3 linked regions of the Tribolium castaneum genome follow. The main gene of each other region encodes a partner of the protein of the gene in region 3 in a complex. Links are inferred from orthologs where the notes say so. Each region holds a gene or a part of one and is shown on either strand. Other genes may lie near its edges.

Region 1 (4,222 bases), on a different chromosome or scaffold from region 3:
TAAGTTTGCTAATTTTTTCAGCACCTGTCTACACGAAAGGCAATAAAAATGTGGAAAAACTTCTGTTATTGTGAGATTTATTTCAGTGTCGATGTCAATATAAGCTGTCTCACCGATTTATATTTATGTTCAGAGGCGACATTCCTATTTCTAGTTTTATCTAAAAATTTAGAAAATTTATTCATGCTTTACGACACTCAAGTCGAGTGTTTTGCGAAAATATGAAAATAAAAAAATAAACACTGAATTTAGAAAAGTTTATTTTTCTTAATTAGATCCGGTCACCTCCAACTTTTCCTCATGTTACGACAGAATAAACCAATAGACTGATTTTGTACTCACTGTTCGCTCTCCCAAGTATCTAAACTTTGTAACGAATTAAATTTTAATACGTAAACCTGGAAGTCTGTACTTACCTTGAATTTCTCAGAGAAGCACACTTGCATGGTATATGAGCTCATTTTTCGCGGATAATATTATGCAGAAAGAGGATTATTCCCTGTGAATTATATTTTAATTAAAACCGAAATACGACAATTTTTAATAACAAGATTTCTCGAAAGCCTAATTCGTACTCTCTTTAATTACTCTACTGTGTGATTTCAAAGCAGTTGAAATTTTTGCTGAAATTTAGAACAATTACGTTGTTGTACTCTATTGTTTAGGAAGAACGCTTGTTATCACCTCTCGTATAGATTATGGACTCCAGTGTGTCCTTTCACCTTTCTATTTTCGATCAATATACCCTACTTACAAAAGGCCAGCCATTCATCTCAATACCAGGTTGTAATAGTAAAGGCCCAAAAAGTTACGAACCAAATTTTAGCTTTATTCAGGATAACACGACCACTGCAGTAGTGTTTTGTCAAGGCTACATAAAATTATTTAATTACGATCATTATTGACTTAAATTTGCTTCGCCACGCAAATGTCAGAAACAAATTCGATTTAGCTGCAGTAAAGCAATAAAGTTGTGAATTCATAAATAACATCTTTCTCTAATTTATATTTCCTTTTCAGCGACGATTTTAAGTTCATTAAGATATTTTGAATCACTTTGTTCTTTCCGGTCCTTTCTCTCTGTGATCATATCTCAAAAATACGTCCCACTTATCTCTGTGTCGAAGTAAATTCAATTAAAACAACATGAAAGCGGGATGTTATTTATTCAAAATTCAGCTGATAACAAAATTTATATTTTTAATTAGTCCAGTTTACTTAAACAGGAATTTAATTAGTTTGCGAATGCTACACAGAAATATTTTTCAGGATTAAATATTTTAAATACAATTTGGAGATGTATGTTGGAATTTCCTGGCGGAGGACACTTCCTTGCATTCCTGTGAATCCCCAATATCGATCTTTTTTCGATTAAGGGCGAAAAGTGAAAATTTCGGAACGCTTGCGCTTGCTACTTAGGCGCCGCAGTGCTTTAAAAAGTTGGTAAGCGTCACGACGCAAAGCGTCAGTTAGCGTCGGTGGGCTAGCGAGCCAACAGCATCGCGTAAATTCTTATCTTACAAATACGACGTGACACAACTTTTCTAACATCGGTTATCACGTGGTAAGCTTTAAATCACCCTTTCTGACATATGGCGCAACGAGCTTTCGATGCTGAATTTTTCGAAAAAGTTTCGACTTTCTCAAGTTTCTTCTAAATATAATAAAACTGACCCTAATATGAAAATCTAACCGGATCAATTCTGACGCTTTTAAAAATAACGTACAATCAGCTGATGTCGGGGTATAAATTTAGAAATACTCGCCCAATTTTCTACTGGACACTGCATCCTGTCTCAGGTTGAGTAATAACTCGCACCTGAAATTCGTTAACCGCGGGCCAATATTGATTTCACCACCGAATATCGGTGCAAGATTCATCAGTTTTTTGTTTACGTTCAGTTTTTTAGGTGGGTGTTAATAATTAAGAGCGCGATATTGTTTTATATCAGCTTTTGACGCCACTACACATTTTTTACAACAAAGCTCTGGACAAGCTTGTTTATATTCAACACTCATTCGACATCGATTTTAGTTATTGACGAATTCGTAAACGTGCTGATGACTTCGCTCTAAATTAATATTATCAATTTCCTTTCAGTTTAAAAATTTGAAACTGCCCTTTAATTGGAGAGGTCATGAATTGCTGAACGCTTTGTCCTGCAATCGATCAAACTTAGCGCAAACAAAAACAAGATTGTGTTGTGTGTGGAAAACCGTTCTTAATGTATGAAGGGAATGTCTTTCATACAAATTTTGTGGAACGAGCCCAAACTCTTTAGTAAAAAAAAATCAAAAAGAAGGTTTTTATTTTTTGCCTGTTAGCTCAGTCCGAGTATAAATTATTTGTCATAATTTTAAAGCTTAAAAAGTAATTTTGCTTATTCTCAACCTGCGTGGTTAGAAAAATAACTGGAATAAATTGTGCACGTACAACTCATCGTAAAAAATCATCCCATGTAAAACGAAATTTTTACGTAAAACGCTTCAGCCGTCCTTGGGAAAGATAAATGTGATGAATATTTTTACAGGACTGCTTATCGACAAGGCATAAATTTATAAAAGCGAAGTTTTGTAATAAATGTTTTATACAAATATGTAAGCTGTTTGGAAACATGTTTACCGAAGCTTGAGCCACTTTAAGAAAGGGTAAAGGACAAAACGGTCAAGGACCAACAAGAGGTAACCCAGTTGTTACATTTTTGCAGCGCTTGTAAACCGGCCGTTTATTGCGAATATTAAATTCTCGCACGTTTGATCCTGAGCATAATCCCATTCCCGAGTTAATTTTTGCCAACGGAATCGAAACATCTATTTTGATAAACGCGCTTCAGACGCACTCCCATATAAACTCTCGATTTTGTATTCCCCCGAAAATAGCTTTCCCAATCAAATCGCACTTTGTCTTTAAAAATAAATAATGTAAATTTCCGTGATTTAACGCGAGTTTTATGACTGGATTTCGCTTAAATGAATTATCTCAGCCTTTGAAACAAACCTACATTCAGATGGATTGAGATACAAAAGACCCATTATGCGGCTGGATGGGCTCGAATCAGGGGCGTCACTGGGTCTTTTCAAAACCATGGACCCCTTAGACTTGCTACAGAATAAACGCATTGTGCTATTATCCGATTGCGAAATCTTGCACACCCACGAGTGTTTTTAGCACATCCTGTTAACATTGAGATGGAATTGTGTTTGATTGTCTTTGAAAAACCAAATCCCTCCGAGCAATTTTTATACTAAAATTGGCAAAAATCCGCAACTGAAAGAGACTTTGCTTTTATCCCACCGTATTTTATGTCTGCAACCTCACAAGCAAATCACATATTTGCCATATACATGAAAAATATTGTGAGTACTTATCGGCTAACAAAGTTACAACTCTCAAAGATAGTAAGTTGCTCTTCCGTTCAACTTATGCATGAAAATTACATTTAATTTCAGAAAGCACGTTCCTGCCAGACACAAAGGATTACTAAAGTCCTTTCAGCAAGAATTTACATAAAAATTCCGTATTAACATATTTAAAATTATCCCGGCTTAAATGTGACTCAAATTTTAGTTTCTGTTTCAATATCTAAACAACTCAGCTATTAATATTCACATGTTGCATCAAATGAACTGTTGGTAGCGTCATAATCTGGACCAAATTCTCGCATTAAACAATATAAAGCTCAAAGCCTTGCTGGGGCTAAATAAAACTTAATTTGCGTCCCAGACGTGCATTAGAGGATGTCTTGGCGCTCTGTACACAAAAACAGATAAATAGATGGTTGTATCCGAACGACGAATTCAATTTTCGAGAGTTAACGGATGCAGTGCTGACAACCTGACGACGAGTAAGCCAATATGCGCCAAATTACAAAACGTAAACAAATGATGTCGTTTTTACGATGACATGGCAAAATGTTGGATTATTTGAGATAGCGTCTACAATTTGAATATTTGATTCAATTTATTCTCCTGGAGTTGGCGTTTGGTAAAAGGGGATCTTCGTAGCGTCCCAGTTCACGCAAGAAGGGATTTTTTTATAAAAAAGAAATCAACCTGAGCGAACGCTACAACTTTTAAGCTTCGAAAGTTGCCAAGGTGTGACGGATTTTTTCAATAGGGAGCTTTGAATATGCCACTGCTTTTAAATTAAATAAGTAATGTGAGTGAGCTTTCGACTTTTAGCACTGAGACAGGGCCTGTCTGTTAGTACGCTGCGCTTCAA
Region 2 (4,278 bases), on a different chromosome or scaffold from region 3:
TTTAAATTTTATGGCGAGTTTTAAGCGTCCCAAAGTTTGTTGTTCGCCCAAAACCCATGAAGGATTTTTTTCGTCGTAGTTCAACAGAATCATTAATTCTTCTGAGGTTTTTACATGGTCTAGGAGCAAAGCTGCGAAATTTTCCACAACAGTTCGCATGTTCTACAAGTGAGTGAGGTGAAGTTGGGTTTAGAAAAAAAATAACTTACGTTATATTCGGCTCGAAATTCGGTTTCTAGTCGACTGAGACGTCTCAAGTCGCCCGAAAGTTCGAAAGCAGTAAATAGAGGGTCAGTGGATGAGAGGGAAATGAGTGAAGGGGATGTTAGAGCTTTGTAGGAGTTGATCCGAGCTTGAGAATGTCGTAAAGAGTCACTTTGGTTTGAGCAAACGCATTCGTCACAACCACATCTTAAAAATTAATCAGGAAAAAAATTAAAAAAAATTTTCGAACGTTTGAACCGAGAGGCCGAATTAATTGTACAAATTTTAAAAAGTTGAGAAGAAAACAAAAACAATTCAACAAAAAAATTCATAAATCAAAAACTAAAAGCCGTAGAGCAAAACGGTTTGTTCCAGTGAATTCAGCGGCTCATTTTCTGTATTATACTAACTTTTCACGAGATTTAAAATTTTGAATTATTTTGCTTAAAATTTGCTTAATACACTTACTTACCTTCAAAAAGGTGGAAAAATTATTTTTTTTTAAACTTGTCCTATTATAGTTTTTTGGACTTTTATATGCTTTTACATCCCTCTAGAGTTGTTAAAAGTCCACAAAAAGTGAAATATTCGATTTTTTTATGTTTGATTTTTTCAATTTTCGTCGTAATTTTTGTCGATTTTGGGTACCCGGAACATGTGTCGAGCAATAGCTCCGGAACTATCAGAGATAATCCCATGAAGTGTATTATCGTTGGAAAGCTCTTTAGATTATCTATTTTTTTCAAAAAAGATTAATGTTCTCTGACTTATAGTTTTCGAGCAAATTGCTGACAAATGCAAAAATTGGTGAAATTTTAAAAAATTCATAACTAAAAAACTATTCGGAATTTGGTAATTTTCTCGATGCCAATCGATTCCCCGGATCATTTTGCATAGATATGGATCAAAATAGTTCCACATTTTAAAATAGTTTAACCGTAAATGAGAAAATAAAAAAATTAAAAAAAAGTTAACACCCCCCCCTTAAAATCGGTCAATTTTAAAAATGTCTCAAAGTCAAATAAAACCTATTCTATCTTATAGATTTTGATGTGCTCTTTCTGATGGAAAAAAGCGTTTTCTCCTAGTTCTTTTAGTTTGGCCGTAATCGGCGTATGAAAATTGAATTTTTTTGCGAGATATCGCCTTGAGTCCTATGCCATTTTGTAGAGTTTTTTATTCCGGTTGTCCACGATTTTTCCGTTTTTCGATAACTCTAATAGTTTGGCCGTAATTGGCGGTTGAAAATTGAAAAAAAGTGAAAATAGAAACATTTTTTGCGTTTTTCTCGGAAACTGTAAGACTTAGAGCAACGAGCAAAAAACCATCTGATAGCGCTTAATTTTATTTATTTTTTCGACCAAACCCGGAGCCCCTCCGGGCAACGGTTCTGGCTACAGAAGCGATCAAAGTTTTTCACTAAAAAAATTCATAAAAAAAAAACTAAAAGTCGTAGAGCATTGCGGTTGCAGTTTTTTTAAATCACTAAAGCAAAGTTTTATGCACTTGAAAACGGCTCCTCGGTTTAAACTTGTTCTTGTACAATCTCTCATTTTGCGCAAAACAGACTAAGAGAATTACCAAAAAAAACACCAAATTAAGTCGAAATTAAGCACATTTTTCTAGTCAAAAAATCAGAAATTTCGACCTAAATAGTGTAATTTTTCATTTTTCAATTTAATTACTTGACATCGTGAGGCAATGGAAGAGTGGCTCCTCTATCCAGCAACAGCTTAATAATCTCGTAATTATTTTTATGCCCGGCTAAGACCAGAGGTGTAATATCAGGTGTAAAAGTGGCCGAACACCGTTCGACTTTTTCCCAACTGTACAAATCGCCAACTTGATGCGTCCTCTCCTCCCAATCTAAAAGCATTTCAACCGCTTCCACAAATTCCTCATTTATTGCATGAAGCAATCCATCCTGCAATTAAAATTTCGCAGCACTAAAAATAAAACTTATTATTACTTGCGATTACTTTAACGTCAATCTGCGACTCAAGGAGAAGCTTCACCAGCTCGATATTTCCATTCTCAATTGCTATAACGAACGCTGAGCGATTTAGAGCATCGATGCAGTTTATATCAAACTCTTGATCGCCCTCACCACCACCATATTCCTCAATTATCCTATTATTTTTTTCGCAATTAATTTCTTGTTTATTTTTAAAAGCAAAAAACTTAGAAAATGGAATACAAAAACAAAATTAAAAAACTCTAAAACAGCAAAGAAAAAACAAAAAAAATGGAAAACTGAAATTATAATTAATTAAAAGACCATCAACCATCTTTATTGTCATGTATACTACATTTTTTCAATAAGTAATTTAATAGAAAAAAATTAGTGTTAAAATAATATTTTATCTACCCTTGTTAAAGTGCAATTTTACCCACTCAAAACAACTGACAATGAAATATGCTATAAAAAATTACCTGCGAACTGTAGCACAATCACCCCTTTCGGCATGAAGCAAAAACGATTTTTCCACCTGACTTAACGCCCTTTCATTATTACAATCAGATCCAAACATTTTCAATCACTTGTCGCATCGAGAATACTTTCAAGTTTGTATTGACCCTCACTATTAATTGAATTAAAATGCGGGACAAAGCCAAGAGGATTACTCCCAGGAGCGTTATATAATAGGAGTTTTGAGTTGGAAAAAATCACCAAAAATTCCTTATTGGCGCAATCAATTTTCTTAGTTGCTTTATTGCATTTAAACCAATAGTAATTTTACCAAAAAGTCGGTTAGTGTAATGCACTCGTTTGGTGTAATCTAATTTAATAAAGACAATAATGTGATTAGACCATAGTTATAAGCGCTTACAAGATTATTACTAACTTATTACTCGCCCTATTTTTCTAGAGAGTAATGTGATCGCCTAAATTTGTGCAAAATGGGGGATTCGGTAAGTTTCATTAAATTTTCCCCTAATTAATTGTCTTGTGATAGGTTGATGTTGAGGCTAAAGTCACACGCAAGACCCTAATCATGCCCAACTTGCCCAAGTCACTTTCAATTGAAGAAAAAAAATATTTATTGGCCATTGAACGTGGAGACATGGCAAATGTTCGCCGGTAATGGAATAAATAATAACCACCAACACAATTTAATAAGTAACACGATTATTTCTTCCAGAATGTTGCAAAAAGCCCACCGGAAAAAATCGTTTGATATTAATTGTGTGGATAGTCTAGGACGTGGTGCTTTATCGATTGCCATCGACCAAGAGCATCTCGAAATGGTGGAACTCCTGGTGATCATGGGAGTGGAAACTAGAGATGCTCTTCTGCATGCTATTCACGTAGAGTTTGTGGAAGCTGTTGAGCTTTTGTTGGAACACGAGGAGTTGATCCACAAAGATGGGGAGCCTTATGTAAGTTTTTGTTAACTTTATTTTGCTTCATTTGAGCAAATATTTTGCAGAGTTGGCAAAAAGTTGACATCAACACTGCCATGTTCACACCTGATATCACTCCCTTGACTTTGGCCGCCCATCGAAATAATTACGAAATTTTGAAAATTTTGTTAGACAGAGGAGCGACTATTCCGATGCCACATGATATCAAGTACGACCATAAATAAAAAAATAAATAAAAATAACTAAAAATCGTAGATGTGGATGTGATGAATGTATCAAAGAATCTGAAGAGGATTATTTACGACACTCGTTAGCGAGACTAAACGAGTACAAAGCTCTGGCAAGTCCGTCTTTGATTGCACTTTCGTCAAGTGATCCGATTTTAACAGCGTTTCAATTGTCGTGGGAATTGAGGAATCTGGCGTTTGCTGAACCGGTAAGTAGATAGACAATTTTTATTCATTCATCATGCAATAACTCCGGAACTATAAAACTTAGACTAAAAGTTTTAGAATAAAAAAATTCATAACTCAAAAACTAAAAGAGCAATGCGGTTTGTTCCATTGAATTCAGCGGCTCATTTTCTGTATAAAACCAACTTTCAACGAGATCTGACATTTTAAAATTTTTTGCAAAAAATTAAAATAGGCAATTTCTATAATGAAAAATTTTATTCAATAAAAAAATTCATAACTCAAAAACTAAAAG
Region 3 (4,085 bases):
CACAACATAATCCCAACGTAATAAAGAATCGTGTTGGGTGCACTACATCGATATAAGTGAAACGTTATTACTGGTACGAATAATTTTCATTCGTATTAGCCAAGAAACTTCTGAAATCGTAATGCGCACATTACTTTTTTATTGTTTTAATTAGTTTTTGTTAATTGTATCTACGACAATAATGAAGATGCAGTCAAAGTTTTTTGGAAATGTGCTTCACTGTTGGTAATCAAAAACAACTCTAACCATAAAAAGCGAATAGACACATCGTCAAAGAGTGCTCAAGACAGTGATAGGTAGAACAGTAACAAAATAACATGCCACTAAGCACATTCCCAAAGCAAGACTACAACTGACCAGCTCGAAGCATGTGTGGCTGAGTACCGACTGAAAACTATGAGAGCTAGAGCTCGGAAATCTGCAAAGGAACACTACCAGTCATACCTTCCTGGCCTAGAACACATATCGAAATAAAACCAAAAAAAAAAGAGCTACATTCACATAAAACCCAAACGAAAATCAAAGACCCGTGATCGTCCCAAGCCTACTACACTATACCCGACAAAAATGATAAATGTACAACACACAAAACACCCGAAAAAACATTACCTTCGTAATTGACCTGACCGTCGCCGTCTATATCAGCTTCTCGGATCATTTCATCGACTTCTTCATCGGTTAACTTCTCACCGAGGTTTGTCATCACGTGACGCAATTCGGCTGCCGAAATGAAACCGTTGCCGTCTTTGTCGAATACTCGGAATGCCTCGCGAATTTCTTCTTCACTATCGGTGTCCTTCATTTTACGGGCCATCATCGTTAGGAACTCAGGAAAATCGATTGTACCATTACCTAAACACCCAAAAAACTGTGTCACCCAGAAAAATCCCACATCGAATTGTTATTTTTGGAATCGCATTACGGAAAATAATCTAATTTACTTATCCTTCGATAGTTTAGGATAATTAAAAAGGTACTAAAACTGCAAAGAACACGGCCCGAAATTGCGCTGCCACAGCAATAAATACGAAAATAACATCCTCCGAAAAACACACCAGAATTCTCCAAATAGTTGCGACCTTTGCGTCTCCAGGGAGCGCAGTAATAATCAATTTATAAAAATTTATAGCCCTTCGTATAGTGGCGGCGCCACTACGCATCCGTGTCAACATTCACGCCTTCATTGTTATAAATTAAGAAAACAGGAATTTCCGTCACTATTTGATAAACAAAACCGCAACATGAAAAAATTGGTTTTCTCCCGTTCAAACTCGACTCAGTCAAACGTTATCTTTTTTAAAACAATATCCACGTCTGAAATATTCAATACTTGTGCATTTTCATTTTCCTTCACACAGTTAGTCCGCTCTATTAAAATTCATAGCGTAATCTTAGCCTTTATGGACCATCATCGTTGGCTTAGGAGTGCGAACTGTCATTGAATAACAAATGAATGCTGTTTCGCAAATTATCTTGGGTGCCACGGGGTAATTTCATGGCTAATGCGATTCGACCGACGCTGATCTACATACAGATGGGCGATTTTTCTAGTGTCTAGCAGCGGCCTATAACCAACACTGGGTCAAATTATTAAAGTGATGTTTTATTCGATATTTTTAAGAACCGATTTCTTTACTTTTCGTCGAAATTATCTACGTTTTTTTTAATGATAAATTGTTCTAATCAATGCATAGGTGTTTTTCCGAAAGGTGAAATTACTCATGCTGTGGACATAAGTTACTCATCTTACTCAAAGTTTAGTCATTAACGTACTTTTTGAATTCGTTACCAACTTTATGATGAAAAAACTTTTGATTGGGGTTTGCTATTTAATTAATAACCGTCACAGCCAAATATCGATGACGTATTTGCGATAAGATAAGTTTGTTTCTATGAAGAATTTTTAATTGGGATTATCGAGAGTTGCGATTTTATCACCGATTGTATAGTCTATTTGAGAACAATGCAGTCCATTATCGGTTTATCAACGTTGGTAAAAAATAACCGATCAAACTGTTACACTTTGAATAGTATGTAGCGATAAAGTTTTATCTGGCAATAATTACATCATTCCGTTTTTCTTAATAAAACAAACGTTGAAGGCAAATAATCAAACTGGCAACAGATGGTCCTAACGGTCACACGGTTAAGTTGGCAATAGAAAAAAGCCCTGTCAAAACAGTCGTTTGTTTATCGAAGTCGAGTTGATCTTACCATCGGCATCTACTTCATTGATCATATCCTGGAGTTCTGCCTCCGTGGGATTTTGTCCTAGTGATCTCATAACAGTTCCTAATTCTTTGGTAGTGATCGTGCCATCGCCGTCCTTGTCGAACAGCGAAAAAGCCTCTTTGAACTCGGCGATCTGCTCCTCGGTGAGTTGGTCAGCCTACAAGCCATCAGAAAGTAAACACCCCAAGCAACAGATCGATACAAGTCCCCAGCGTCGAAATTTAGCAATACCGTCGAAAATAGCCGTCGAAATTGAATTTGTCCGCATTGCGGTAAACCAATTTACCGGTTTACGGCAACTGACAGCTATTTGCGAAAGCATCACAAACCAGAAATATCCGCGCGAAGCGCGACCATCCGCAGCCCCGCGCCCCAAAGCCGCCCTTCGGCCGCCTCCGGCCCACTTACCATGGCTGTATTTCCGGTAAAAAGGGCACTCTAAACAATTCTTTGCCACGAAAACAACTGTCACTTGCGACTTTTCGCGTCAAAGTGCACCAGCCAACTGTCTGCGTCTGTGTCTTTTCTCGTTTTGTTTAGGATGGGAGGGTGGAGGGGCTGCGAAAGCACTACCGCCAAAGCGCAATAGTGCGGCTACGACACCAACGAGTAAATATTCCTACGCCCAGCCCGCCCCCACCGAGGCCCCCCGCGGGCCCCCAGCGCCACAAAAACCCCCCCAAACCTCGCGAGAACCCGCCACAAGCCCCCACAAAGACGCTTTTTCAAAATTGAGCCCCCCAAAGCCGCAAAGCCCCGGATCTAGTTTTGCGCGCGGAGAGTCCGCCACGTTTGAATGTCGGGCGCGGCTTGTTTACAACGTACTTTCGTACGGAGCTGCGTTCCCATTGGTCGATATGTACCTGCAATGCGTCAAGCAAGCCGTGCACGCGGTGGTTCAAGTAACGGCGTGATGCGTCGGATTCGGGGCGACGCTGCTCGGGTGCGGCAGTGGCGCACCGACGAAAAACAAAGGAAACGCCCCCTGATTGGGGCCGGGAAGCAGTTCGGCGAAGGGCTTTGGGGCATGAGGTGTGTGAGGGTCCGAAAACGATCGCCTTTTTTTTCGCAAATTGACAGCCATAGCACGCTGCGCAACTTGGCGTCTAATTCAATTAATGCATTCGGGAAGGTGCATATACAGGGTGGTGTGGAAACAAGGCGTTGGATCAATAAGTATTTATTGCGTCTTGAGATACTTGAACCACGATAAATAGCAAGGGTTTTGAAAATTTGAATGCAGAAGGCGTGATGGGAATAATAAAACAAATTAATAACTAGAAGTTTTTTATTCAGTTAAAATTTCTACATAATTGATCCACAATTTGAAATTTTTCGTGACCTTGATATTGGTTCAGTAAATTTCACCCGTGCGTAACAGTCGCGTGACATAATTTCTGACTGGAACTGTACCATGAGTCACTTTATGCAAAATAAATATTGCCAACTTTTTTAGATGTGTTTAGTAAAACAATGACACATAGATTAACTGAAATTTTTTCCGCATTTTCTTTTTTTTTAATAAAAATTGTTAGAAAAAAATTGAGTCGTTGCTAAAAAGATTTACATTATCGTCAGTTTAATACTCCAAACTGGCAATATTGGTCGGTGACGTCACATGCCCATAACAATTTGAAGGGAGTTCTAAAAGATCGTAATGCAAATGCTTGAAAAACAGTTTTATTGTCGGAAGTCTGTTATTAAAAATTTCATCAAGGTTAATATTAAAGTTCAGGATAATGCAATTTCGTGTTTTATGAGATGTTTACTCTTGTCGGTAGTTTTACCATAAGGAAAATATTTGTGCAGGAATCTGTAGAGCACTTCGGGATCTTTAAATTGATAAGATTATC

Evidence for each region. The genes of interacting proteins can lie anywhere in the genome.
Region 1: the proteins of Cam (region 3) and rdgC are in contact, whole or in part, in a crystal structure (PDB 8ZLW), measured with the Drosophila melanogaster proteins. The link is inferred for Tribolium castaneum from reciprocal best matches to the Drosophila melanogaster genes Cam and rdgC. Residues at the interface, in NP_001246276.1 of Drosophila melanogaster: Glu12, Glu15, Ala16, Leu19, Phe20, Leu33, Met37, Leu40, Met52, Glu55, Val56, Phe69, Met72, Met73, Arg75, Ser82, Glu84, Glu85, Ile86, Glu88, Ala89, Val92, Phe93, Ile101, Leu106, Val109, Met110, Leu113, Glu115, Lys116; in NP_788546.1 of Drosophila melanogaster: Asp2, Glu3, Asn4, Ala5, Ile6, Arg7, Ala8, Ala9, Ile10, Phe11, Ile12, Gln13, Lys14, Trp15, Tyr16, Arg17, Arg18, His19, Gln20, Arg23.
Region 2: the proteins of Cam (region 3) and trp are in contact, whole or in part, in a crystal structure (PDB 7CQV), measured with the Drosophila melanogaster proteins. The link is inferred for Tribolium castaneum from reciprocal best matches to the Drosophila melanogaster genes Cam and trp. Residues at the interface, in NP_001246276.1 of Drosophila melanogaster: Glu12, Ala16, Leu19, Phe20, Lys22, Leu33, Val36, Met37, Ser39, Leu40, Gln42, Glu48, Asp51, Met52, Glu55, Val56, Ile64, Phe69, Met72, Met73, Lys76; in NP_476768.1 of Drosophila melanogaster: Gly804, Lys805, Met807, Glu808, Arg809, Ile811, Leu812, Asp814, Phe815, Gln816, Ile817, Val820, Glu821, Lys824.

Annotation. Positions count from the first base shown.
Region 1 is NC_087402.1:8,853,186-8,857,407, reverse strand, and holds the start of rdgC (serine/threonine-protein phosphatase rdgC), read left to right. Parts: upstream 1-1,422; 5' UTR 1,423-1,564; intron 1,565-4,222. UniProt on the Drosophila melanogaster protein: Phosphatase required to prevent light-induced retinal degeneration.
Region 2 is NC_087402.1:543,210-547,487, forward strand, and holds the start of trp (transient receptor potential protein), read right to left. Parts: upstream 2,801-4,278; 5' UTR 2,736-2,800; coding exon 2,638-2,735; intron 2,335-2,637; coding exon 2,184-2,334; intron 2,129-2,183; coding exon 1,890-2,128; intron 412-1,889; coding exon 210-411; intron 163-209; coding exon 1-162. Other genes in the region: trpl (transient-receptor-potential-like protein), read left to right, coding at 3,106-3,117, 3,162-3,286, 3,348-3,585, 3,636-3,778, 3,826-4,006. UniProt on the Drosophila melanogaster protein: A light-sensitive calcium channel that is required for inositide-mediated Ca(2+) entry in the retina during phospholipase C (PLC)-mediated phototransduction.
Region 3 is NC_087397.1:1,844,412-1,848,496, forward strand, and holds the start of Cam (calmodulin), read right to left. Parts: upstream 2,801-4,085; 5' UTR 2,644-2,800; coding exon 2,641-2,643; intron 2,390-2,640; coding exon 2,215-2,389; intron 853-2,214; coding exon 610-852; intron 1-609. UniProt on the Drosophila melanogaster protein: Calmodulin mediates the control of a large number of enzymes, ion channels and other proteins by Ca(2+). Among the enzymes to be stimulated by the calmodulin-Ca(2+) complex are a number of protein kinases and phosphatases.